Linked DNA regions of Ovis aries. The protein of the gene in region 3 interacts with the protein of the main gene of each other region in a pairwise test. Links are inferred from orthologs where the notes say so. Each region holds a gene or a part of one and is shown on either strand. Other genes may lie near its edges. The genes, in order: BFSP2, LMNA, SYCE1 and WASHC3.

What was found.
Region 1: the proteins of SYCE1 (region 3) and BFSP2 interact in binary tests that used the Homo sapiens proteins (3 or more experiments, as listed by UniProt). The two-hybrid records come from large-scale screens. The link is inferred for Ovis aries from reciprocal best matches to the Homo sapiens genes SYCE1 and BFSP2.
Region 2: the proteins of SYCE1 (region 3) and LMNA interact in binary tests that used the Homo sapiens proteins (3 or more experiments, as listed by UniProt). The link is inferred for Ovis aries from reciprocal best matches to the Homo sapiens genes SYCE1 and LMNA.
Region 4: the proteins of SYCE1 (region 3) and WASHC3 interact in binary tests that used the Homo sapiens proteins (3 or more experiments, as listed by UniProt). The two-hybrid records come from large-scale screens. The link is inferred for Ovis aries from reciprocal best matches to the Homo sapiens genes SYCE1 and WASHC3.

What each region holds. Positions count from the first base shown.
Region 1 is NC_056054.1:256,587,881-256,593,310, forward strand, and holds the end of BFSP2 (phakinin), read right to left. Parts: intron 4,265-5,430; coding exon 4,044-4,264; intron 1,803-4,043; coding exon 1,799-1,802; 3' UTR 1,519-1,798; downstream 1-1,518.
Region 2 is NC_056054.1:106,134,799-106,140,817, reverse strand, and holds the start of LMNA (lamin), read right to left. Parts: upstream 3,501-6,019; 5' UTR 3,292-3,500; coding exon 2,936-3,291; intron 1-2,935.
Region 3 is NC_056075.1:51,475,367-51,481,556, forward strand, and holds the start of SYCE1 (synaptonemal complex central element protein 1), read right to left. Parts: upstream 3,512-6,190; 5' UTR 3,472-3,511; coding exon 3,402-3,471; intron 1-3,401. UniProt on the Homo sapiens protein: Major component of the transverse central element of synaptonemal complexes (SCS), formed between homologous chromosomes during meiotic prophase. Requires SYCP1 in order to be incorporated into the central element.
Region 4 is NC_056056.1:171,452,504-171,457,933, forward strand, and holds part of WASHC3 (WASH complex subunit 3), read right to left. Parts: intron 5,174-5,430; coding exon 5,108-5,173; intron 2,989-5,107; coding exon 2,881-2,988; intron 1-2,880. UniProt on the Homo sapiens protein: Acts as a component of the WASH core complex that functions as a nucleation-promoting factor (NPF) at the surface of endosomes, where it recruits and activates the Arp2/3 complex to induce actin polymerization, playing a key role in the fission of tubules that serve as transport intermediates during endosome sorting.

The DNA.
Region 1 (5,430 bases), on a different chromosome or scaffold from region 3:
AGAAACCGTGCTGAGAACTGGAAGCACCAGTCTGCTGGGCTCGCCTTGCCAAAGGATGATTAACTTAATGATTTACGGCAGCTGCTCTTTGAGACTACAGAGATGAGGAGACTGAGTGTGTGCAGCCGGCACAGTGTGCTGTCTGCTGGAAGCTCAGGAGGGTGTACAAATCCATTCTCCCCTCGCTTCCAGGTTCTGGGAAATGCGCAGCCATTCAGATCCAGAAGTACCTCATTCTGATGGCCGGCCTTCTGAGGCTCTCCAGCTGTGTTTAAGTTAGGGATTTAGATCATGGCTGGGGAACAAAAATTCACCATAATAAGTAAAAAAGAAAAGCAGAGCCCAGTGAACGGGCATTCTATAAAGTTGGCTGCACACTCTTCTGGGGAGGCCCTGGTACCCGTGGCTTCAGTCACGGGCACCCCTGGGTGTGCAGCTATGGAGGGGATTGGTGCTTTCTGAAATGCAGCTGTAGGTGGTGTCTTGACTATTTCTGTGCTTCAGACAACAAAGGGAATCATGCAAATATGCCATGCAAACTAAATAGCTGTCCTGCCCACCTGACTTAGTAATACAATTCCTTTGATCCTGGGAGCCAAAAGGGAAACCAGTTGGAGTGATTTCAACCAGGCGATCCCCCATGTCTTATCTCACTTCTCTTTCTAACTTTCTTAAAGGTAAATAAGATTCCATTTGTTTATGTTGACCTTGGCTATTTGGAAGCCCAGGAACTGAAGGAGGGGGTCTTCAAATGTGCCCATGTTGGACACACTGCCCTGTCTGGATTAGCTGCTTATGTGAGGACAGAGACTCAGCTTGGATCATTTTTTAACTTTGGTCTGTAATTCTGTGTGACAGGTGTGCTGATAGGAGCTTGGGGGAGGAATTAAGAAATTAAGTCTGGGCTGTGTGTGTGTGTGGTTTTGGAGGCACTGAGAGCCTGTGCTAGGACACAGGTGGTGGTTTCAGTTTTAATCAGAAGGCAGGGGCGTCTCGAATGGGTAGGCAGCAGATTCATGAACTATATTTGGCTGGCCTGAGCCCTGAGAGGGCTGGGGAAGGACCCTGGAAGAATGTTCTGAGGCTGCAAGTGTAGGCAGCCACAATCACAACCTAATTCGTCTCCCACAGATTTAAACTGAAGTTCCCTTTAAACTGATTGAGAGAGGTGCTCTGCCAACAGCAGTGAAATGTGGGTGTCTGCGTATAACTATTCATGCAGAGCACACTAAAGACACCTGAATGCTCTGTGATCACGCTACATGCTGACCCCCTCTAGCAAGAATATTGTTTTTTCCCCCCAATGGTGGCAATCTGGTATGCTGAGCACAACTCTCACCCCAGAAGCACATTTATGTTGATAAACCCATGAGCAGCTGACCCTTGAATAATGAGGAAGATGGCATCATGCTCCAGGACCCTTCTAGAAGCCTTTAAGAATGGCCCCATGAGGGAAGGCCAGGTAGGTAATGTGATATCCATCTCTATCTGATAGTGGGTTGAACAAGGTGGGCAGACTGGAAGCCACACACAAAGCATTTATTTGAGAGGGGCAAGGGAGGTTGCTCGAGCTACAGACTACTTGAATTGAGGCAGCAGGACCCTCTCCTCTTCCAGGAAGCTTTTCAGCTCAAGCTGAACCAACCAGGAAATCCAGCTTGGGGTGGGGAGTGGGAAGGATGAGGGGAGATGGGGGCTGGGGGTATAAGGGGGTGGGGGTGGGAATTCCTCAGGGAACTTCATTGGTCACTTGGTGAGGAAGCCAGCATTTTCTTCATGAAAAATGGGCATTTCTCCATTAGCTGAAACAAACAAAACCCCAAAAACACATCTGAGTGAGAAAAGCCATGGATGATGAAAATTAGTAAAAACATCACAATAGGATTATAGGAAAGGTAGATGTTTCACAGAAAGAATTTGGCCTTTGGAACAAGACAGTTTGAGTTTCAACTCCTACCTCCATGGTTATTAGCTGTGTGACCTTGGGTAAATGACTTAAGCTGTCTTTGATTTTGTTTCCTGTCTGTAAAATGGGGATAATGATGTGGTTCTGGCAGAGTTTTGAGGGGAAATGAAGATAGCGTAGAGCTTGAGACTGTGCTGGCACATAGCAGGCACTCACTGGATGGAGTTCTTGAAGTAAATTTAACCTGTCTTGTTACTTTTGTGTTTCAGTTATTCATACGCACCTGAAAAAATTAGCGTTGTTACAAACATCTAGCTTTCATAATCAACAGAAATCACTCCAATAAAAAGACAGATGGAAACAGGAGCTGGATGCCATGTTTTTCGTTTGAAAGGAGTGAGTGTTAGGTTGCTTCCTGGCCTTCTCACCTTCTAAGAAGGGGATGGCACAGACCACAGTGAGAGCCAGGACACCTGGGATCCAGCTCTGCCACCCCGTGGGACCATGGGAAAATCTTTTTCTGCTCTGGACTTCTTATTCTCTCTGGAATCATAAGCCATTGTACTACATAATCAACAAGTCATCTCTTAGCCCTGCTATTCTATTTCTCATTCAATGTGTGCCATAGAATGGACCTTGGAGGGCATGAAGATACAGAATTATGATGAAAGAAAGGCTTGAATTTCCTTAAAGAATTGGCAAGGAAGCTGAGCCCCAAGCCTCATGCCTATGCTTCAGGGTGTCCTTACCCATTAAAAAAGTACTGCTAGATGCATATATACGTGCATGGTGTATATGTATATATACCACACATGAATATATGTGTGTTATATAAGTATATGTACCACATAGACACATAAATGTATATATACCACATACACATATATATGTACATTGACTTACACATGTTATTCCCAACCTCTCACCTCTGTCCACTATGGAGGCTGGAAAAGCTAAATAGTTGCTTTCCCAGCTTCCCTTGCAGGTAGGTCTAATCATGTGAGCAGACTCTGGTTAATGAGATAAAAGAGAAAGTCTTTTACGGGTTGCCATTGCCTTCTCCGCATGAGCAGCCTAGCCTACCTCATTTCTGAAACTTTCAGGTGAACATGGTTTATGCCCTTGCTGCTCAAAGTGTGGTCTGTGGACCAGCAGTACAGGCATCACCTGAGAGTTCTGTCAGAAATGCAGAGTCTCAGGTCCTGTCTCAGACTTACAGAAGCAGAATTTGCATTTTTAAAAAGATGCCCAGGCTTGGCATGTTTCAGGAGTGTTGGTTTATAGCTTCATTAATAAGGACTTACTACATACAATGGCACCCCACTCCAGTACCCTTTCCTGGAAAATCCCATCGATGGAGGAGCCTGGTGGGCTGCAGTCCATGGGGTCGCTACAAGTCAGACATGACTGAACGACTTCACTTTCACTTTTCACTTTCAAGCATTGGAAAAGGAAATGGCAACCCACTCCAGTGTTCTTGCCTGGAGAATCCCAGGTATGGGGGAGACTGGTGGGCTGCCGTCTGTGGGGTCACACAGAGTCAGACACGACTGAAGTGACTTAGCAGCAGCAGAAGCAACATGCAGCAGAAAGCATTGCTAACAGCTACCATGTAGTATGAGTTAAGTGTGAACCATATAGGTGTGTCTATAGGTGTGTGTCTATATGTCTGTATACATGAATATATACTGACATCCACACATATATTTATACACACATAAGTATATACTATATATTCATCTATATATTGTGTTGTTTAGTTGCTAAGTTGTGTCTGACTCTTTGCAAACCCATGGACTGTACCCCCAGTCTCCTCTGTCCATGGGATTTTCCAGGCAAGAATTCTGGAGTTGGTTGCCATTTCCTTCTCCAGGAGATCTTGCCCACCCAGGGATCCAACACTTGTCTCCTCCTTGGCAGGTGGATTCTTTACCACTGAGCCACCAGGGAAGACAAAAACTATGTACATATGAATGGAAAAATCCTGGGAGGACAGTCAGGCTGTGGGAGTTGAGGGGGTGTGCTGGGAGGTGATTTCTCCTTTTTACATTACTTACTTCAATAGTATTTGAGAAAATGTTTAATCGAAACCTATGAGTACCTACCCCTCTCCTAACAAAGCTGAGCAGAGACGCACCTGCTCTCCTCGCGGTCCAGCAGCGCGTGGTAGGATGCCACGTCCCGCTGCAGCTGGCATTTGTGCGACAGCAGGTGCTCCCGGGCCTGCAGCTGCTGCTCCGCCTCCGCGCGCATCTCTCTGAGCTCCGCCTCCAGCCTGCTGACCACCGCTCCCAGGTTCTGCAGCTCGATGTCATGCCAGTGCTTGGCGTCGTGCAGCGTGTTCTCCAGGCCTCGCTTCTACAAGAGAGGGAACGCAGGCCAAGCCTGAGGCCGATGGACAGGCCCTGGGAAGAGGGAAGTGGGCAGAGCAGTGGGAGGGACTGGCCTTGGCCTGGTCTGTCCGTTTCTCCCAGGACGATTACCTTGACCGAAGGAGGTAGCTCATTGGGGAAGTAATGAATCCTCCTGGGGGAGGCCAGAGTCTTGTTTAGTCTAATTCACTGATCCTTCCTATGGGGGCGGAGGTGGAGAGGGAGAGGAGGAAGAAAAAGAGGGGAGGAAGACCAGAAGGGAGGGCCTAGGAGAAAGAATGATGAGAGAAAATAGAGGGAGATGAGTGAGAGAAGGAGAGAGAGGAAAGGAGAGAGAAATACACAGACACACAGACACACACACACACACATGAAAGGAGAGAGAAATACACACACACAAAAGGAGAGAGAAACACACACACACACACAAAAGGAGAGAGAAATACACACACACGAAAGGAGAGAGAAATACACACACACACACACACACAAAAGGAGAGAGAAATACACACACACACGAAAGGAGAGAGAAACACACACACACACACAAAAGGAGAGAGAAATACACACACACGAAAGGAGAGAGAAATACACACACACACACACACACACACAGAGGAGGCAGTCTGTAGGTGTTTCTTCAAAGAAATTTTGCAGTCTTCTCTCTGAACTGCCTCCAAGCCCTTTTGCTCCTGACTGCTCACGCTCTGGGCCCCTTCCTTCCTCTGTGAACCCCTACTTACTGTCCTGCTGGGAGGCTGTCTCCTCCTGCACACTTCCCACATTCCACAGTCAGAAATAGTGTCTCTGGTCTCTATACCCTCGGCGTGTCTTTCCTTAGTGTTTGGGTAGCACACTGTGCTAGTTCTTTCCCAGTGGCCGCTCCGCCCTACCCTTAGCCCGTCTCTCTCTGAGCTGAGCCGCACCGGTTGGTCTCTACCAGACTCACGACTTGGTCACTCCTGTGTTGATGTGTCCAGCACAGATGTCTCCCCACCCATGCAGACTTGCTACTGAGGTTCTTCCTAGAAATATACACAGGTTGTGGGCACCTCAAATCAAGGTGTTCAAAATGAAGCCATTGGCTTCCTTCCAAACCTGCTGGCCCCTCCTTTCCTGTGCTCCAGCTGGTGAACTCAAGAGGAGCTAGAA
Region 2 (6,019 bases), on a different chromosome or scaffold from region 3:
ACCTGGGCCTGCAGGTCCCTCCGTGTTCTGACTGAGGCCATCATGTAAGGCGGGCAATTCAGGAAGTTGTCGGGCACCCAAGGCCTTGTTCGGGGGAAAGGGATGCTTCTGCTTTGTGGGTCTGGGATCTCCCCACTTCTGACTCAGCCTTCCTCTACCAGTTCCGTTTGGGAAGACACAGACCCTCGCACCAACCCGCAGCCCAAGCCTGTAACTCTGGACTCTGCTTTAGAACTACTTGTGTACACGGTCTGTCAGGAGCCCTGGTTCCAGACCACCACCTAAGGAAGAAGGCAGAAAAGGAGCCCAGGATGCAGTGGGGAGCAGCGAGCAGGGATGCAGACACTCAGGCCCCCACCCCTCCCTTTAAGACATCTGCTGCCTCCACCCTGTCTCTTGCAAAGCCACTGGGGTGGGAGGGAGGGGGGCAGTATCTGAGTCATCCACCCAGCTGTCCTGCCTGGGATGGGGCCTAACTCCAAGCTTCGACCCCAGGCCAGCCTTCTCTGATGCTTTTAACCTCCTCTTTCTTCCCGCGAGTAGGTGTTCAAAACCCCTGGGCTCCAGAATAAAGGATGTGAGTCTGTGTTTGCAGGCAGGAGCAGTGTTTCTGCTTGGAGCCTGTAACCCAGTCTGATGAGAGGGGGCCCCAAAGCCCTGGGTGTGGTCAAGGTACCCAGGCTGGGCCAGGAATCGCCACAAAACCTTACAGACAGCTCTGCATCCCAACCCAAAGCCTGGCCCTGAACTCTGAGCTCTAATTAAACATTAAACCAGACAACACCTTCTCTCTAGGCTTTAGTGGGAGGAGTTAGGACAATGCCTTTCTTCCTCTCCCAAATTCTTCATGGCGTTCTTCACCTCACCCTGAGCAAAGCAGACACAAAAGGGAGCAACAAATCCTTGCTCCTCCCACTGGGGACATAGAAGGGGACAGAAACCTCAAGTGAGCCCTCTTTGTCTCCGCCCAACCTCCTATCAGCCTAGGATCCAGGTGTGCAAAACCACCCCCCCTCTCCCGGAAGCCCAGCACCCCCAGCCAGGATCAGTGGGGGAGAGGAGAGGCAGGCAGCTAAATATAACAAGTACACACACCACCCCCGGCCCTGTCCCACGTGCGCACACACCCGCCTGGTGTCCCAGACCGGGACAGCTGCACCAGGAGGCAGAGACAGACTGGTGTGGCTGGGTTAGCGAGAGACCATAGACTCCACTCGTTCTGTTCCCTGGTCAAAACCTTCCCCAGAAAAAGACCTGCTAAGAATGCCCTTGGCAGGGACCCGCAAGGTAGTAGTTCGGTAGCTGGGTAAGCTAGTTTGGAAGACTAATTCTCTGGGACTCCCCTAGCTTGCCTCTTGTCTGCCCTGTTAACTAAGTTATTCATATCACTAGTGGACAATGACAGGAATGATCCCTTTCAACAGAAATAGTCACTCTGAGTTCCCTGGTGGCCTAATGGTTAGGATTCCTGGCTTTGGATCCCTGGTCTGATCAGGGAACTGACCCCTGGCAAGCCTGGGCTTGGGGGTGCGGGGGGTGGTGGGGGGGAGAGTCACCTGCCTACCCACACCATTTCCATCTACTCTTCACTAGGGGATGATACATCTGCCACACCCACCATGCCAGGGGCTGGGGGCTAGCGAAGGGGTATAAAGAGTAGCAAATTCACAGCGCTTCTGAGAAGAGCATGAGCCTGGAGAAGACGACGCAAAGGGGAAGAAGAGAAGACCAACCACTACAGCCTCAGCCAGGGGTCTCCAAGCACCTTAGTGCTCTCTGGCTGAGGTCTTCTCAGAAAACAAATCCTTGGGGAGCTGAAGAGGGCCTAAACTTCCCAGCTCCAAAGGCCTTTTCAGAGAAGAGGGAGGAGACAAGTAGGGTGCGGTAGGGTGGGGCAGGGATGGGTAAGGTAGGAGGGGCCTGAGTCTTCCAACGGCTGGATTTCAAAAATGTCACAGTATTCCAGGAGTTTAATAAGGCAAAGAACAATAACAAAAAAAATGTCCCAGTGGCTGAGAGGGCCGGCCAGAGCAGAGGCTGCTAGGCTTGGCCGGGAAAATGAAAGTGGCTCACCCCAAGAAGGGAGGCAGGGAGGGACTAGGCAGAGGGTGAGGGTGGGGAGATGGGGAAGGGGAGGTACAGACCTGGGCATACATAACACAACTTCCTGAGCCGGGAGCCTCTGCCCTCCGTCTCCCTCCCTCCCTTGCATTCCTGGGCCAAGCAGGCCAAGGGCTGTGGGAGCTGCGGGGGAGCGGCTCTCCTAGAGTTGATCGGTGGGCCTGTCAGAGGCCAGGGGAAGTCCCAGACATGCAGGGAGTAAAGGAGCACTTCAAAACTCTTAACAAGAGCCTGGGAAAGGGTTGTGCAGTGGGGGCCATCGCTGTGCCCCTGCAGGGGGAAAAGGGGGTCACCCGGCTTTGGTGACCTCTCTCTGGCACCACTAGACATCTCCCAGCCTAGGAGCTCTGTTTTAGTGGGAGTCATGTCTTCAGAGACAGGCTGGGCAAGGTTGGCACGGTGCCAAGGCTGCCAAGAAAGTTCCAACAGGACCCTCTCACCCACTCCTAAGTGTCTTGGGCGCCTAGATGTCTTAGACCTGGCAAGGCCAGTTCGGCTTTGCTCAAGGCCCTCTCTCAGGCCCCAAATGACTGGCAAATCCCACCCTGACAGATTGCGGGCCTGCCACCAGCTCCTACTTGGCCCTGATGAACCCCGCCATTCCTTATATACCCCACCCTCTCCCAGAGACCTCTCCCTTCTCAGTCCTGTCTTGACAATTTCCCTTGGCACTGCCAGGCACTCGCTGGGGGCAGTTCCGGGAGGGAGGAAACTATACGGCAACGTTACCAACGGCCTGGAGCCCAGGCAGGGGCGGCAGTCCCTCTGCCCTCACTGCCCCTCCCGGCCCCACGCCGCCACCTGGGGCACTCACCGCGCCTTGAGCTCCTTGAACTCCTCTCGCACTTTGCTCAGCTCCAGCTGCAGGCGGGCGCGCTCCTTGGCCACCGAGTCGAGGGTCTTGCGGGCATCCCCCAGCTCGGCTTCGTAGGCGGCCTTTATGCCAGACACCTCGCGGCTGACCACCTCCTCAGACTCAGTGATGCGAAGGCGCAGACCTGCATTCTCCGTTTCCAGCGAGCGCACCCGGTCGATGTAGACAGCCAAGCGGTCATTGAGCTCCTGTAGGTCCTCCTTCTCCTGCAGCCGGGTGATGCGGGTGGGTGACAGCGGGGTGGAGCTGGCCTGCGCCCCGCTGCGGGTGGCGCGCCGCTGGGACGGGGTCTCCATGGCCGGCAGGGTGGCAGCACTGCCCGAGGGGCAGAGGTCCCGGGAAGGACGCGGGGCTCAGGCCGAAGGACAGAGACTGCTGGGGTAGGAGCGCGCCGGCCGGCTGGCTCTCGGCTGGCTCCTGGCAGGCTTGTGGATCTGGGCCGGGCGCTGTCAGACCTCTGGATCTCGGTTGGCCGGTGTGGATGCGGAGCTCCCGCGAACACTCTGAGTCACCGGCTCCCGGGCAAAGGCTCTAATAGGTCTAGGGAATGGGAGGAGGGGCCACTCTCTTAAAGGGGCCGTCGCTAACCCACAGGGGTGGGAGAGGGAGGGGTGAGCAGGGGAGACGACAGCCCCGGGGTAGGGCCCCACCCTCCCTCAGGCACCCCCACGTGCCTGGGGCTTCCCTGAAGCTCGTCTCTAGGTCTCTACCTGCTCAGCGATCCAAGCTAAAAGCTTGCCCCCACTGCCTTTGGCCTTAGAGGGGGAAATGGGCAGAGCCAAGGGGTGAGGCTGGGTGGGCAAAGGGCAGGGGGAAGAGGGGCAGTAGGCACAAAGCAAGGGAGGGCGCCAGGCAGGCAGATCCAGGAAAGTGGGGGGAGGCTGAGGCTGGTGCCCATGAGGGTGACTCACTCTTCCACCACTGGCCCCCCTTTTCCTCCCCATAGTAATAGTGAGTCACCCCTACTCCCCCACCCCCCACCTCCATGAGTGGGCAGTCCATTCAAAGCCACATCTCAGTATGCCAGGGTGGGGTGGGGAAATATGCCTGGGTTCCCTGGGGTGGTTGGAGGGAGAGCTGCCACAAAGTTCTGGATCCTGAGTTCCTTTTACACCCTCAAATTCAGGGTGGGGACCAGAGTTTGGGGTTATTCTTTTCCTATTTTCTGCCCCAGTTTAATCTCCCTTTGAAATCAACCATTGGATCGTAGACCCAAAGAACAACCCCGAGGCCCCAGAAAAGGTCAAGAATAGGACCCAAGTACTGCCCACCCCATCCCCTTCCTTTGGACCCCAGCAGTCAGAAAAAGAGCCTGCCTGAGGTTCCTCCCAGCTTTGGTCCCTTTCTAGTCCTCAGCCCAGCCCAGCCCAGCCCACCAACCCCAGAACTGTACTTATTTTTTTTTCCAGGACTGTACTTATTTTAATGGATAATTTAAAACAGATACCAGAGCTGTGCATGCGTTCATCACATTGCCAGGACACCAGGTCCCAAATTTTTGTGGTTCCCAAAGGGGCCTGAAAGGGGGAGCAGGGCTGGGGGCTGGACAGCCAATTTTGGGTCTCTATCCTGGTTTCAGCCAGAAAAGGGGGGTGATGGGGGTGAAGACAGCAAAGGCGCCCATAGCCTTGCTGACTGCTGGGCCAGCACCGCACTTATCTCCACATTCCTCTCTGACCAGGTCTGCTTTGCCACTGGCTCCGGGGAGGGGCCAGGCCCTCTCACAAAACAGGATCATCCACGTCCCTGAGCTTCCATCCTCAGGACTCTCGGGAGACCCCTTTAATCAGCCTCCTACTCCCCATTCCCATCCGGGCCCCGGCCCCACCAACCATCTCATCTCATCACCTCTAAGAGGTGGCAGAGGCTGAGGCTCCAGAACCCATGTGCTTTCCTGCCCTGACCCTGGGCCTCTCATGGCTTAGTCTCTGATGAGGAACTGGGGAAATTAAATTATGTTGCTAACTCCTACAGCTCCAGGATATCAGGATACACAGAGAAACAGGGCTGGACAGGTCTTCTGTTCTGGAGCTGGGGCAGGATTAAGGCAGGGACTCTGAGTGTTCAGGGAGAGAAACACTCCCTGAGGGATGGCAGGTTTCCATCTCCAGGGGTTGACTGGGCAGGGTGGTGAGCATCCAGGATACTCAGAGTTGGGGGACCCGCGATATGGTTCCCCTCCCTGCAGCCCCCTCCCTCAGGGTGGGGCACCCACCTTCAGCTTCCCAGACAAAACAGAAAGTCTTTCCCTGTTTCTCCCTCTTGTGTTCCCCAAGTCAGAATGAGAGGTGGGGTGAATGAGCCAGTGAAACGTGAGGGACAGTGGCTGTTCCCACTGCCTCAGCCCCCCTCCAGAGGGCTCTCCGGCCTCTGCCCCACCCAGTCCCTGCCTGGCCTGGCCTGACTTCCCCTCCTGGCTGGGGAGGCAAAATCACACTTAAGCCTTCCTCTCTCAGACCTCCCCATCTTTGGGAAAAGAGGCAGGATAAAGGAGAGGGGATTCTCACCCTAAGTTTCTCTCTTTCCAAAGGGTTCACCACCACCACTACCACAATGGCCTCAGTCCTAAACCTGAACTTCAAAGTGGGCCTTTACCCTAAATATTCAGGCCTAACTCTGAACCCCAGATGTCATCATCTGCTCTTCCCCTGCCAGGGTGTAGATGGTCAGTCCCAGCAAAAGCAGAAGGCAGGGAAGGCCAGGTCCAGAGGAGCGGAGCCTGCTGGGGGTGAGGGCTGGCAAGAGTTGTGTCTGGGTGGAGATCAGTTTCCAATCCTATCTCTCACTTGGCCAGGTGATGACAGGTCTGCTACTGAATTCTCTGGGCCTCAGCTTCCTCATCTATAACAGGGGCAGAGTGGCTATCAAAGAAATGAGGGTTGAGCTACTATGTTTGCTCTCTAGGGAGTTGTCCACCGGTAGGGAAAACAGGAAGAGGCGTACCAAGCACAAGGGGTTAAAGAGCAGCATAGAACCCTGAACTGGATAATGAATTTCAAATGGGTTCCAGAAGCCTGGAAGCTG
Region 3 (6,190 bases):
AACTACACTAATGGTTAATAATATCTGAAAAGATGTATAACCTTAGTCATAATTAAAAAGGTGAAAATGACATGTTGTATCTAGCAGCTCGGTAAAGCTGAGTAAGTCTGATAATGCCTTGTGTTTATTACAATGCAGAGAAACAGGCACTAATGCACACTGACGGACTGTGAAAACTAATGGAAACTTTTGGAGGACAGGTTGGCTACATCAACATTTTCAAGACAAAATTTCACTTCTATGAATTTCCCCATCAGATATGCTTGGTTACATATCTATGTCAAAAATGGGAAACTTGAATGCCCAGCAGTAGAGAACTTATGATTCAAGCTCACAAGAGAATACTGTGCAGTCATTGAAAAGGAGGTAGATTTATGTGTAATAACAATGAAAGAGAACCTAGATAGACTGAAAGAAAAGAAAGGACAAAACAGTACAATATAGAATCCCATCTGGCTGCAGAGAGAGGTGAAAAAAATATTTTGTCTGTCTAAAAATATATGTGTCTTATTTCTAGAAAATTTCTGGCTCAAGTCACACAAAAATATTTTCAACAGTAGTTCTTCTGGAGAGTAGAAGTGGAAGGATAGGTAAGAGAATGTTTACTTTTCACTGTATACTTCTGCATATGGTTTTACGTTTAAATGTTGACCAAAATGACCCAAAAATGAATTTATAGTTTTCTTGAGCAATCATTTGTCCAGGTATTATTAATAGACTAGGCAGTGAGCTGCACCTTTATTTTTTTCTTTATTGCATATTAAAAGGTAAGGCACAGAGTGGGAAAGCAGAATATATCTGTTGAACAAGTCAACTAATATATTGTTAATAAAAAAAATCAAGGGTACCACTGCCTATGTTATTATATGAGCCCCCTTTTTTACTTATTTTAAAAAATTTCAAATTTACTTAAAAGTTGCAGAAATAGAACACACAGCTCTATATGCCATTCACCCCAGTTTTACATTTGCTAATAATCATAAACTTTAAGAATAAGTTGCAGATACAATTCGTCATTGCCCTCAAATACCCCAGTGTGAAGTTCTGAAGTACAAGGACATGCTCCTGTGTAGTAACAACAGTACAACAATTAAAACAGAGACTAGCAGTGAGAGATATTAACATGTGATCATCAAGTGGTACTTTAAAAATGTCTCCTACTTTCACTTTTATAAATTAAAAGTTCCACAAGTATCAGTTACATAGTCCTAGTAGAAAAAAACAAATATTAAGGTTAAAAACGTTCCTTCACCTTTGCATTGCCCTTAGAAACTAGATTGGAGAAGGCAATGGCAATCCACTCCAGCACTCTTCCCTGGAAAAGCTCATGGACAGAGGAGCCTGGTGGGCTGCAGTCCTTAGGGTTGCCAAGAGTCGGACACGACTGAGTGGCTTCACTTTCCCTTTTCACTTTTATGCACTGGAGAAGGAAATGGCAACCCACTCCAGTGTTCTGGCCTGGAGAATCCTGGGGATGGGGGAGCCTGGGGGGCTGCCGTCTATGGGGTCACACAGAATTGGACACGACTGAAGCGACTGAGCAGCAGCAGAAACTAGATCCCTCCATCAGAGTCATCAATTAGGAAAGCAGCCTCCAGACATCTTTCTGTGCAAACTACACAGTATTGCAATTTTTCTATCTTGCTTTACTCTCATAAAAATGTTTTGAAGATCATATTGTATCTGTATGTCTAATACTTTCAACGTTGACTTGGTTAAGTGTATTTTAATTCTACTTCCTCTTCATTTTAGAAATCCACTGCACAGGTATATCCCAGTGTGCATGGGATTTAGCTATTCCCTTCCCAAGTTTTCCTACCACCATTTAAGCTCCAGTCACTATCCGATCCATGCATCTATGTATGTCTTGGGTGATCCTATAGGAATGTGACCCAAAAGGGGAAAAGATAATTAAAATGTTAAAATTTGTGCCAGAAGGACTACTGCAAAGCCTTCACCCTTTCTTCCTCTCGTCAGAGTATGACATGGTCTGTATCTTTACACCACCGTTAGGGCTAGATAGCACCACTGCCCCCTTTTTAGAAAAAACCCAGTAGACTGAGAATGGAACCTTGATGTCTCATTTTCTCTCACTGCTGTAGGATGAATGTTTGTGTCCCTCCATTTTTCATTTGTTGACATCCTAAAGTCTGATGAGATGGTATCAGAGGGTGGGGCCTATGGGAGGTGATTAGGTCATGAGGCTAGAGCCCTAATGAATGAGATTAGCACCTTATAAGAGACCCCAGAGAGCTCCCTTGCCCATTCTGCTGACACAGATGGACATCTAAGATTCAAGAAACTGGTCCTCACCACAGGCAAGAAATGGTGTTTCACCAGTTATAAGACACTGGTGAAGTCAACTGCATCTAAATATGCAAGCTTAATGAACTTGAAACAAAGATACTAAGAGGTTTCTTTAGCACAGTGGCGAACACAGTAGGTGCTTAAGAAAAGAGATCTATATACATCTGTTCTGTTTTTCTTTTTGTTCTTAGCTGAGGATTGTTACTGAATGCCACTCCTCCCTGCTCCAAGCAAGCTTTCTGTGCTAAGTTTATTTCAGTATTTAAACCTTCATTTTATTTATTAAAGAAAAGCCACAAAGCACCTGTCATGTACCAAAACTGCACTACTGCCTGCAGCTGCGACGGACATGGCCAAGACGGGTTCATGAGAGCATCTCAACACGGGGAGACAGGGAGGCCACGCAGAGCAGAGGCAAGCTGAGGGATGCGTGTTCCTTGCACAGTTCTCTCCCCTTTTGTGTTAACACCCAGGAGCATGTCCTTCGGGGGTGGACAAGCCTGGGAATATTTTTTATCTTTCTTCTCTCTGCTAGGCTGTTATTTCAGAAAACTTTATAACTGTAATGAGCTGCCATGCCTCTCCTTTCCCGGTGAGGTGGGAGCCACTGTTCAATAGGTCAGAGTCAGGAAGAAAAAAAACGTAACGCTCTGCGGGGCGGTCTGGATCCTGGTTTGGGGGAGGGGGAATCTACTGTTGAGGACCATCATGGAACAACAGGGAAATTCAGGGGTTCGGTGCTGTGAGATGAGAGAAATGGGACAGACTCCTTCCCTCGGGTGACACGGGCCGAGAACAAGTCCCTTTCTGTTGCAGGAGATGCCTGTGGGACGCTCAGGATCAGACTGAAAGGATGCCCTCTGCCTACTTTAACCTACTCAAGCACAGCAGATGGGGCCAAAGGAAGTGAGTGCACGTGGGGCACGGGCCTTCTGTGAGTCCACCCGGCAGAGCCGCCAAGATCCTTCCCATGGGGCTGATGGCCATTTTTCCTCACGCCCGCCCCGACTCTGAGGAAGAGGCGCCCGCGTGCGCTCCCTGCCTGCCCAGCCCTCAACAGCCGTGGTCGGGGCCGCCGCCAGGCCCAGCTCTACCTCTGGCCTCGTCAGTCGGGCCCACGGCTCCCGCCGCTTCCGCACTCGACGATCCCGGCCGCCCAGCCATGTCCTCTCAGCTCGCCGGCGCCGGCGCCTCCTCTGGGATTGGACGGAAGCCGCGCCAGGGGCGGGGCGTCCTCAGCACGCCTGCGCAGTGCACCTCTGCGCCGTACGTACCCTCCTTCCAGCCGGCAGCTGGGGTGGCGGTTGGGCAAGCGGCGGTGCGCGCGCTTGAGTCCACCCAGAACAGATTCCGTGCAGAGCAGGTGTGGGGGGCGCGCACGGATCTTCCAGGCTGGCGATTGGCTGGTTGAGGAGCTGGCGACCTGCTAATGACAGAGGTCTCACGAGGGACTGCCCCATGTGGCGTCGCCCACCTTGCGAGGAGGGCACCTGAACCTGGTGGTGGGGAGCCGAGTCTCTGCACATGTTGAGAGGTTGGCAGTTAACCCAAGGACTCTGGCTTTCTGGATGGAGGCCATAAATTGCCCTCCCCACCCCCTTATTGCAAAATTCAGACTTAAATTGAAGAAAGTCGGGAAAACCACTAGACCATTCAGCTATGAGCTCAATTGGATCCCTTACGATTATGCAGTGGAAGTAACAAATAGATTCAAGGGGTTAGATCTGATAGAGTGCCTGAAGAACTGTGGACAGAGGTTCCTGACATTGTACAGGAGGCAGTGATCAAGACCATCTCCAAGAAAAAGAAATGCAAAAGGGAAAAGTGGTTGTCTGAGAGGCTTTACAAATAGCTGAGAAAAGAAGAGAAGCAAAAGGCAAAGGAGAATAGAAAAGATATACCCCTCTGAATGCAGAGTTCCAAAGAATAGCAAGGAGAGATAAGAAAGCCTTCCTCAGGGATCAATGCAAAGAAATAGAGGAAAACAACAGAATGGGAAAGACTAGAGATCTCTTCAAGAAAATTAGAGATACCAAGGGGACATTTCATGCAAAGATGGGCTCGATAAAGGACAGAAATGGTATGGCCCTAACAGAAGCAGAAGATATTAAGAAGGTGACAAGAATACACAGAAGAACTATACAAAAAAGATTTCTATGACCCAGATAATCATGATGGTGTGATTACTCACCTAGAGCCAGAAATCCTGGATTCTGAAGTCAAGTGGGCCTTAGGAAGCATCGCTATCAACAAAGTGAGTCGAGGTGATGGAATTCCAGCTGAGCTATTTCTAATCCTAAAAGACGATGCTGTTAAAGTGCTGCATTCAATATGCCAGCAAATTTGGAAAACTCAACAGTGGCCACAGGACTGGAAAAGGTCAGCTTTCGTTCCAATCCAAAAGAAAGACAATGCCAAAGAATGTTCAAACTACTGTACAATTGCACTCATCTCACATGCTAGCAAAGTAATGCTCAAAATTTTCCAAGTGAGGCTTCAACAGTACGTGAACTGAGAACTTCCAAATGTTCAAGCTGGATTTAGAAAAGGCAGAGAAACCAGATATCAAGTTGTCAACATCTGCTGGATCTTAGCAAAAGCAAGAGAGTTCCAGAAAAACATTGACTTCTGCTTTATTGACTATGCCAAAGCGTTTGACTGTGTGGAACACAACAAACTGAAAAATTCTTCAGAGAAGGAAATACCAGACCACCTAATCTGCCTCCTGAGAAATGTGTATGCAGGTCAGGAAGCAACAGTTAGAACTGGACATTGAACAACAGACTGGTTCCGAAGAGGGAAAGGAGTACGTCAAGGCTGTATATTGTCACCCTGCTCATTTAGCTTATATGCAGAGTACATCATGGGAAATGCTGGGCTGGATGAAGCACAAGCTGGAATCAAGATTGCTGGGAGAAATATCAATAACCTCAGATATGCAGATGACACCACCCTTATGGTGGAAAGCAAAGAGGAACTGAGGAGCTTTTTGATGAAAGTGAAAGAGGAGAGTGAAAAGCTAGCTTAAAACTCAACATTCAGAAAAGTAAGATCATGGCATCCAGTCCTATCACTTCATGGCAAATAAATGGGGACACAATGCAAACAGTGACAGACTTTATTCTCTTGGGCTCCAAAATCACTGCAGATGGTGGCTGCCTTCCTTGGAAGAAAAGCTATGACCAACCTAGGCAGCATATTAAAAAGCAGAGACATTACTTTGCTGACAAAAGTCTGTCTAGATAAAGCCATGGTTTTTACAGTGGTCATGAATGGATGTGAGAGTTGGACCATAAAGAAAGCAGAGCACTGAAGAATTGATGCTTCTGAGCTGTGGTCTTGGAGAAGACTCTTGAGAGTCCCTTGGACTGCAAGGAGATCCAACCAGTCCATCCTAAAGGAAATCAGTCCTGAATATTCATTGGAAGGACTGATGCTGAAGCTGAAGTTCCAATACTTTGGCTACCTGATGTGAAGAACTGACTCATTGGAAAAGACCCTGATCCTGGGGAAGATTGAAGGCAGGAGGAGAAGTGGATGTCAGAGGATGAGATGATTGGATGGTATCTCTGACTCGATGCACATGAGTTTGAGCAAGCTGTGGGAGTTGGTGATGGATGGGGAAGCCTGGCGTGCCGCAGTCCATGGGGTCACATTGTCCTCCTCAAGTGAGCGAGTGAACTGAACCGAACCGAACCTACAGATGCTAGAATCCTCCATAGGATAGTGTTGCAGGAATTGGGATGTGTCTCGGGGATCAAGGTAAGGGGGATGAAGTAATATGACACAAGCCTTGAGTGTTTCTTCTGGAATATTCCTCTCTAATTGGCAATCTAGGAATAGGATTTTCCCTAGACTCTACTTGCCCAAGGAAACAGAATTG
Region 4 (5,430 bases), on a different chromosome or scaffold from region 3:
TAAGGACAATAAACTCATACAATAGCACAATGGAGCAAATGGTAATTACATATAAGACCACTAGATTTTAAAACTCAGCCTTTAACTTCAGCCTAATAACCAAGACCTCAACAAGGTTTAATTATATCAGGTCTTACACCTTTGCTATTTGTATGACCCATTAAATCTTCTATCGTATCTCTCAACTGTCCTTCATTTTATTCTGAAATTAATCTCAATCTGTACAATTAGATGTTCTACTGTGAGTAATGATAAGATCTGAACCATGAAATTAAAGGTGCAGAAAAATCAGTATGCAAACCTTGGGTCTTTGACTCATATATAGATTGGAGATTGCAATGAATGGATGACTTAAAAAAAAGTTCATGATTATCTTTTAACTGATAAGCAAGTTGACTGTAATGTCAATGGAAATTCTGTGTTAAGCAATACTTCAGTCCATTTCAAAATATTTTATATAAAATATACCAATTAAAAACAATGGAGAGAAATAAAGAGTTGATTTCAATATTAAGAACATACTGAACAGTTATATTAAGCCAATCAATACACAACTTTACCATATTTTTTAAATTCAGGAAGCCAACAGTACTTCATAAATCCTCCAATGAATTAATAACTATTTTTCAATAAAATTGCCAGAATATCAAGTAATTCTGAATTTTAGATATTCAGTTGTGATTAATCAATTTTTTGAGACTTTAAATAGGCAAGACCAACACAATTGTACAAGTTTTAAATACATATTATATATGGGCGTGCACAGTAACACCTGGAAAAGTTAATACTGAAAGTCAGATATCATTTTATAAATTTATAGAAATATAATAATGGCTAGTATCCACCAAAGAATACCTACTAGGTAGAATGGAAACATGTAATAGCTTTTACATATGCCTTGTTTTAGAAAAAGGATGGTTTATCTTTAATTGATAAAACCTTGTAAAGTTAAAACTCCTCTAAACATTTGAATTTATTTTTGTATATTATATATATTCCAGTGATCATCACAATGGAATTTGTTATATTAATTAAATGGATGTTAAATTTTCTAATACCTAATTGTTAAGTAAAGCGAAGTGAAGCAAAAGTCATTCAGTCATGTCTGACTCTTTGTAACCCCATAGACCTCTCTAGGCCAGAGAAGTCCATGGAAATCTCTAGGCCAGAATTCTGGAGTGGGTAGCCTTTCCCATCTCCAGGAGATCTTCCCAACCCAGGAATCAAACTGGGGTCTCCTGCACTGCAGGTGGATTCTTTACAACTGAGCTATCAGGGAAGGCCTAACTGTTAAGTAAACAGTCATCTAATTCATCCACCGAATATACAATATTTCTAAATTATAGCTCCTCCCACACAGAGCCTTGGACCACATGTGCTCAGTTGCTCAGTTGTGGCCGACTTTTTGTGATCCCATGGACTATAGCCCGCCAGACTCCTCTGTCCATGAAATTTTCCATGCAAGAATATGGAGTGAGTTATGTTTTATGAATTCAACACAGGTGCTAGAGACAGTGCAGTGTAGGAGATAAGAGATAGGATTCTTGACACCAGATTGTTTGGGTAAAAATTCTAGTTCTTACATTTATTGTCTGACCTTCAACAAGTTAACCTCTGTGTATCTCATTTGATATACCTGTAAAGTATTAATAGAACTTATAAAAGTATTTACTTCATAGGGCTGTTGTGAGAATTAAATGAGTTAATTTATAAAAAGCACTTAACACACCACATATACAGTCAGAAACCTTTACATGGGAGGTATTACAATCACAGTCAACATCATAATGATCTAAAAGATATCCCATAAAAAGTACCTCCAGGTACAAATGCAAAATTCCATATACATAGGAAGTCTGTTTGTTTGGTATTACTTGTTAGACCACCATTTTTGATTATCTTATTTTGGATTTTAATACCTCACTGAGATATACTAGCAATTATTCTACAATGAAGAATTTTTATTTCTTGAAATAAAAAGTAATACACAATTTAAATTTTTACAGTGCATAAATGAACATTAAAACATAAGAGCCAAACATAGAGTGCAGGCCTTACAAGGACGCTGATTTGAACAAATCAACTCCCCAAACACACTCTTTGAGACAAGTGGTATTTCTTAGATTAGGACCTCTCAAATTTCAAGAGCCTTCAAATCACATACGGATCTTATTAAAATGAAAATTCTGACTCAGTGGGTCTGGGGTGGAACCTGAGATTCTGTATTTCTAACAAGTTCTCAGGTAGGTTGCTGGCCCATGGAGCAGAGTTTTGGTAACAAAGAGTTAGATATTATCAGGGAATTATTGCTCATTATATTGTATATGATGAAGGCATTGTGGTTATACACGAAAATGTCAGAACTTTTCATAGATGCTCAGGGAATTATACATGGGTGAAAAGATATGATGCCTGGAATTCACTTCAGTGACAAAAAAAGACAGATGAAGCAATGCAACAAAATCTCAACTGGTGAATCCAGGTAACGGGCACTTGGTTAGTCATTGAACTATTCTATTTTTATTCATGTGTGAAAATGTCATACTAAAACATTTAAAAGACACATTTCTTACAAGAACCAAGAAAAAAATTTCCAGAGGGAACTTGAAGAAAGTAGTTATAGTCAAGATTATTCCTAGTCCTGTATAGGTCAAATTTCTGTTTTATAGGCAAGAAAAATATTAACTTCAGGAAACTGTTCAGAATAATAAAATGAAAAGCTAATAACTTTTTTCAAACTGTATTTTTTATCTTAAAGTTTAAAATATTATTAATCAAGTGCTATATTTTTATTTAGCTTCTTTATTTGAACCTGCAGATTTGGTCTATCTGGTTCACCCAAGAAGAGGTGCTCATGCTTCCCGGAACTTAATTACATACCTGTGATTGCTCTGAAGTGGCTTCAGAATGTGTTCCATTTGTGATCCTAGTGACATTTACAGGAGATACTTCAAATGTGACATCATCTAGGCCCGGGATAGATGATAACTGAGAGGAGAAAATTAATGTTGGTATATGAGGATAATATTAGATCTTTAAAGAGTAAGTTTCTAAGTATGTGTTGTGTTTCAAATAGTTTTCTTAAGTTTTAAAGCTATAGAAGTGGTTTCATAAAATCTCATCTTTGGTTGAAATTCTCCATGCCATAAACTACTTAAAAGTGAAAGGGATTGACAAATAAAATATTTTTGAAGAATTTTTCACTAATCTAATTTAGGTTGTCACCATTCTTTCTCAGGAATTATTATTTTTTTAATAAGGAATCCTGGTGTAAGGAATGAGAGCATGGGCTTTGGAGTCAGATTGCCAAGGTTTAAGTCACAACATATGTTGCTGCTGCTGCTGCTAAGTCGCTTCAGTCATGTCCGACTCTGTGCGACCCCATAGATGGCAGCCCACCAGGCTTCCCCATCCCTGAGATTCTCCAGGCAAGAACACTGGAGTGGATTGCCACTTCCTTCTCCAATGCATGAAAGTAAAAAGTGAAAGTGAAGTCGCTCAGTCGTGCCCGACTCTTGGCGACCCCATGGACTGCAGCCTACCAGGCTCCTCTGTCCATGGATTTTCCAGGCAAGAGTACTGGAGTGGGGTGCCACTGCCTTCTCCGACAACATATGTAACCCTGTGCAAATCTTCCTAGGCCTCAATTTTCTCACCTGTACAGTGGGGGATAAGAAAACTTACATCCCAAATTTGTAAAAAGATTTTGATTAAATATATTTTGTTCCCCTTCAAAATGTGCTCTGTAGCACATTTTAAGTTTGAATAATCTGGGAAATGAGAAAACTCTTGCCACATGTTAACATATGATGCAGCTTATTCTTTTCTTCTTTCTTTAGTAATATCACTTTATGTTACTACAATGTGTTAGTTTCCATACATAAAAAATGAGCATGATGTCAGTGGTTAAGCATTTTAGGTTGGATTTCCAAGATCCATGCAAACATTCTTTTCTGATTTCATTCTGGTATCAGTGACACACATCTGTCAAATGTTTGGCTAACTTTAAGGAATTAACTCTATGGTCATGGAAATAATTAAGGTTAACCTGTCCACATGGCAACTTAACTTGTGACCGTGGACTCTAACTTAAGAATTCCACAAACATTAAAATAATATACATATTCATAATAAAGAATAATGAAAAAAACAATGGCAATAAGATCTAAAGCAACAATATTCATTGAAAACTGTTGACTGATGACAGTATTTAGCACATTGGCTATGGCCCTAATAGTTTCAAGTGGGTATGGCTGCTAAGAAACTATTTTGAACATGTTCAAGGCCAAATATCCTAAATTACAAGCTAAAGAAATGTTCCGAGGGAAATACAGTAGCTGAAGACCACAGGAAGATGTAAAAGCATAAATCAGACATTCTGATCCCTATGCTAGAAGATATTAGTAATTTCACTTCCTTCAGTTCAGTTCAGTCACTCAGTCGTGTCCAACTCTTGGCAAGCCCATGGATTATAAATAGTCAATAAATATTTTTTCAGGTCAGTTTTTTTTGATAACAGAACAAAGTCACAAAAATATATTAGCATCTCCATTATTTTATATACAAGAAAAGCACACAAAACCTGCAAGCTTTCAAACTGAAACAACCTTCTATTTTTGCTTTTATATGACAGTTACCTTTTGTGATATCTGACATCAGAACTGGTACTACTCACTAGCATTTAATATATTTACAAATGGAAAATAGCTGAGATTTTCTCCAAATTTTGTTCTGGAGACATGTAAAGTTTTACAGAACTTTTTCCTGTGTTATCAATGACTACTATTAAGATAATTGTGAGTTTTCCATTAAATGAAGCAAACTATACAACATTCAATTTGTTAACATGTTACTCATTATGTTTCTGATTAAATAATGAAAGAAACCTTGACCCACGTGTATATTTAAACAGACTCAGTTACTGGTTCATAATGAAGATTATTTCCTTTGCAATTATAATAAATTAAACAAATGAAAGCACTGCACCACATCATGGATGCAGGAGCTAAATTGAATTCATTCCTAAATACAATTAAAGTTAAATGCAACTGAGAAAGTTGCTATATGTACAGCAAGTTTATCCTATAAATTATTCAGAAATACAAACCTTTGCATCTAAAATATTGAGAGTTGTTTCAATTTGCTGGATTCGAAGAGAAAGGTCTGCTAGTTTCTGAAAAAGAAAGAGTAGAAACAAAAGGATAAAGTTAAAAACTATGGTTAAAATATTTGTGATTTTCTAAGATACTACTCTCTTATTTACAAGAGTAAGAATTGAAACTCAAGTATTCAATTATCTTTATTAGGATGTTTCATGGTTATTTTATAAAACTGTATTCATAGAGAAGCTGTTACATTTTCAGTCTTATGAAACTCATTATCAGAGCCACAATCAATCACTGGGACCAGAATGTAAACTCCTCTGAAGAC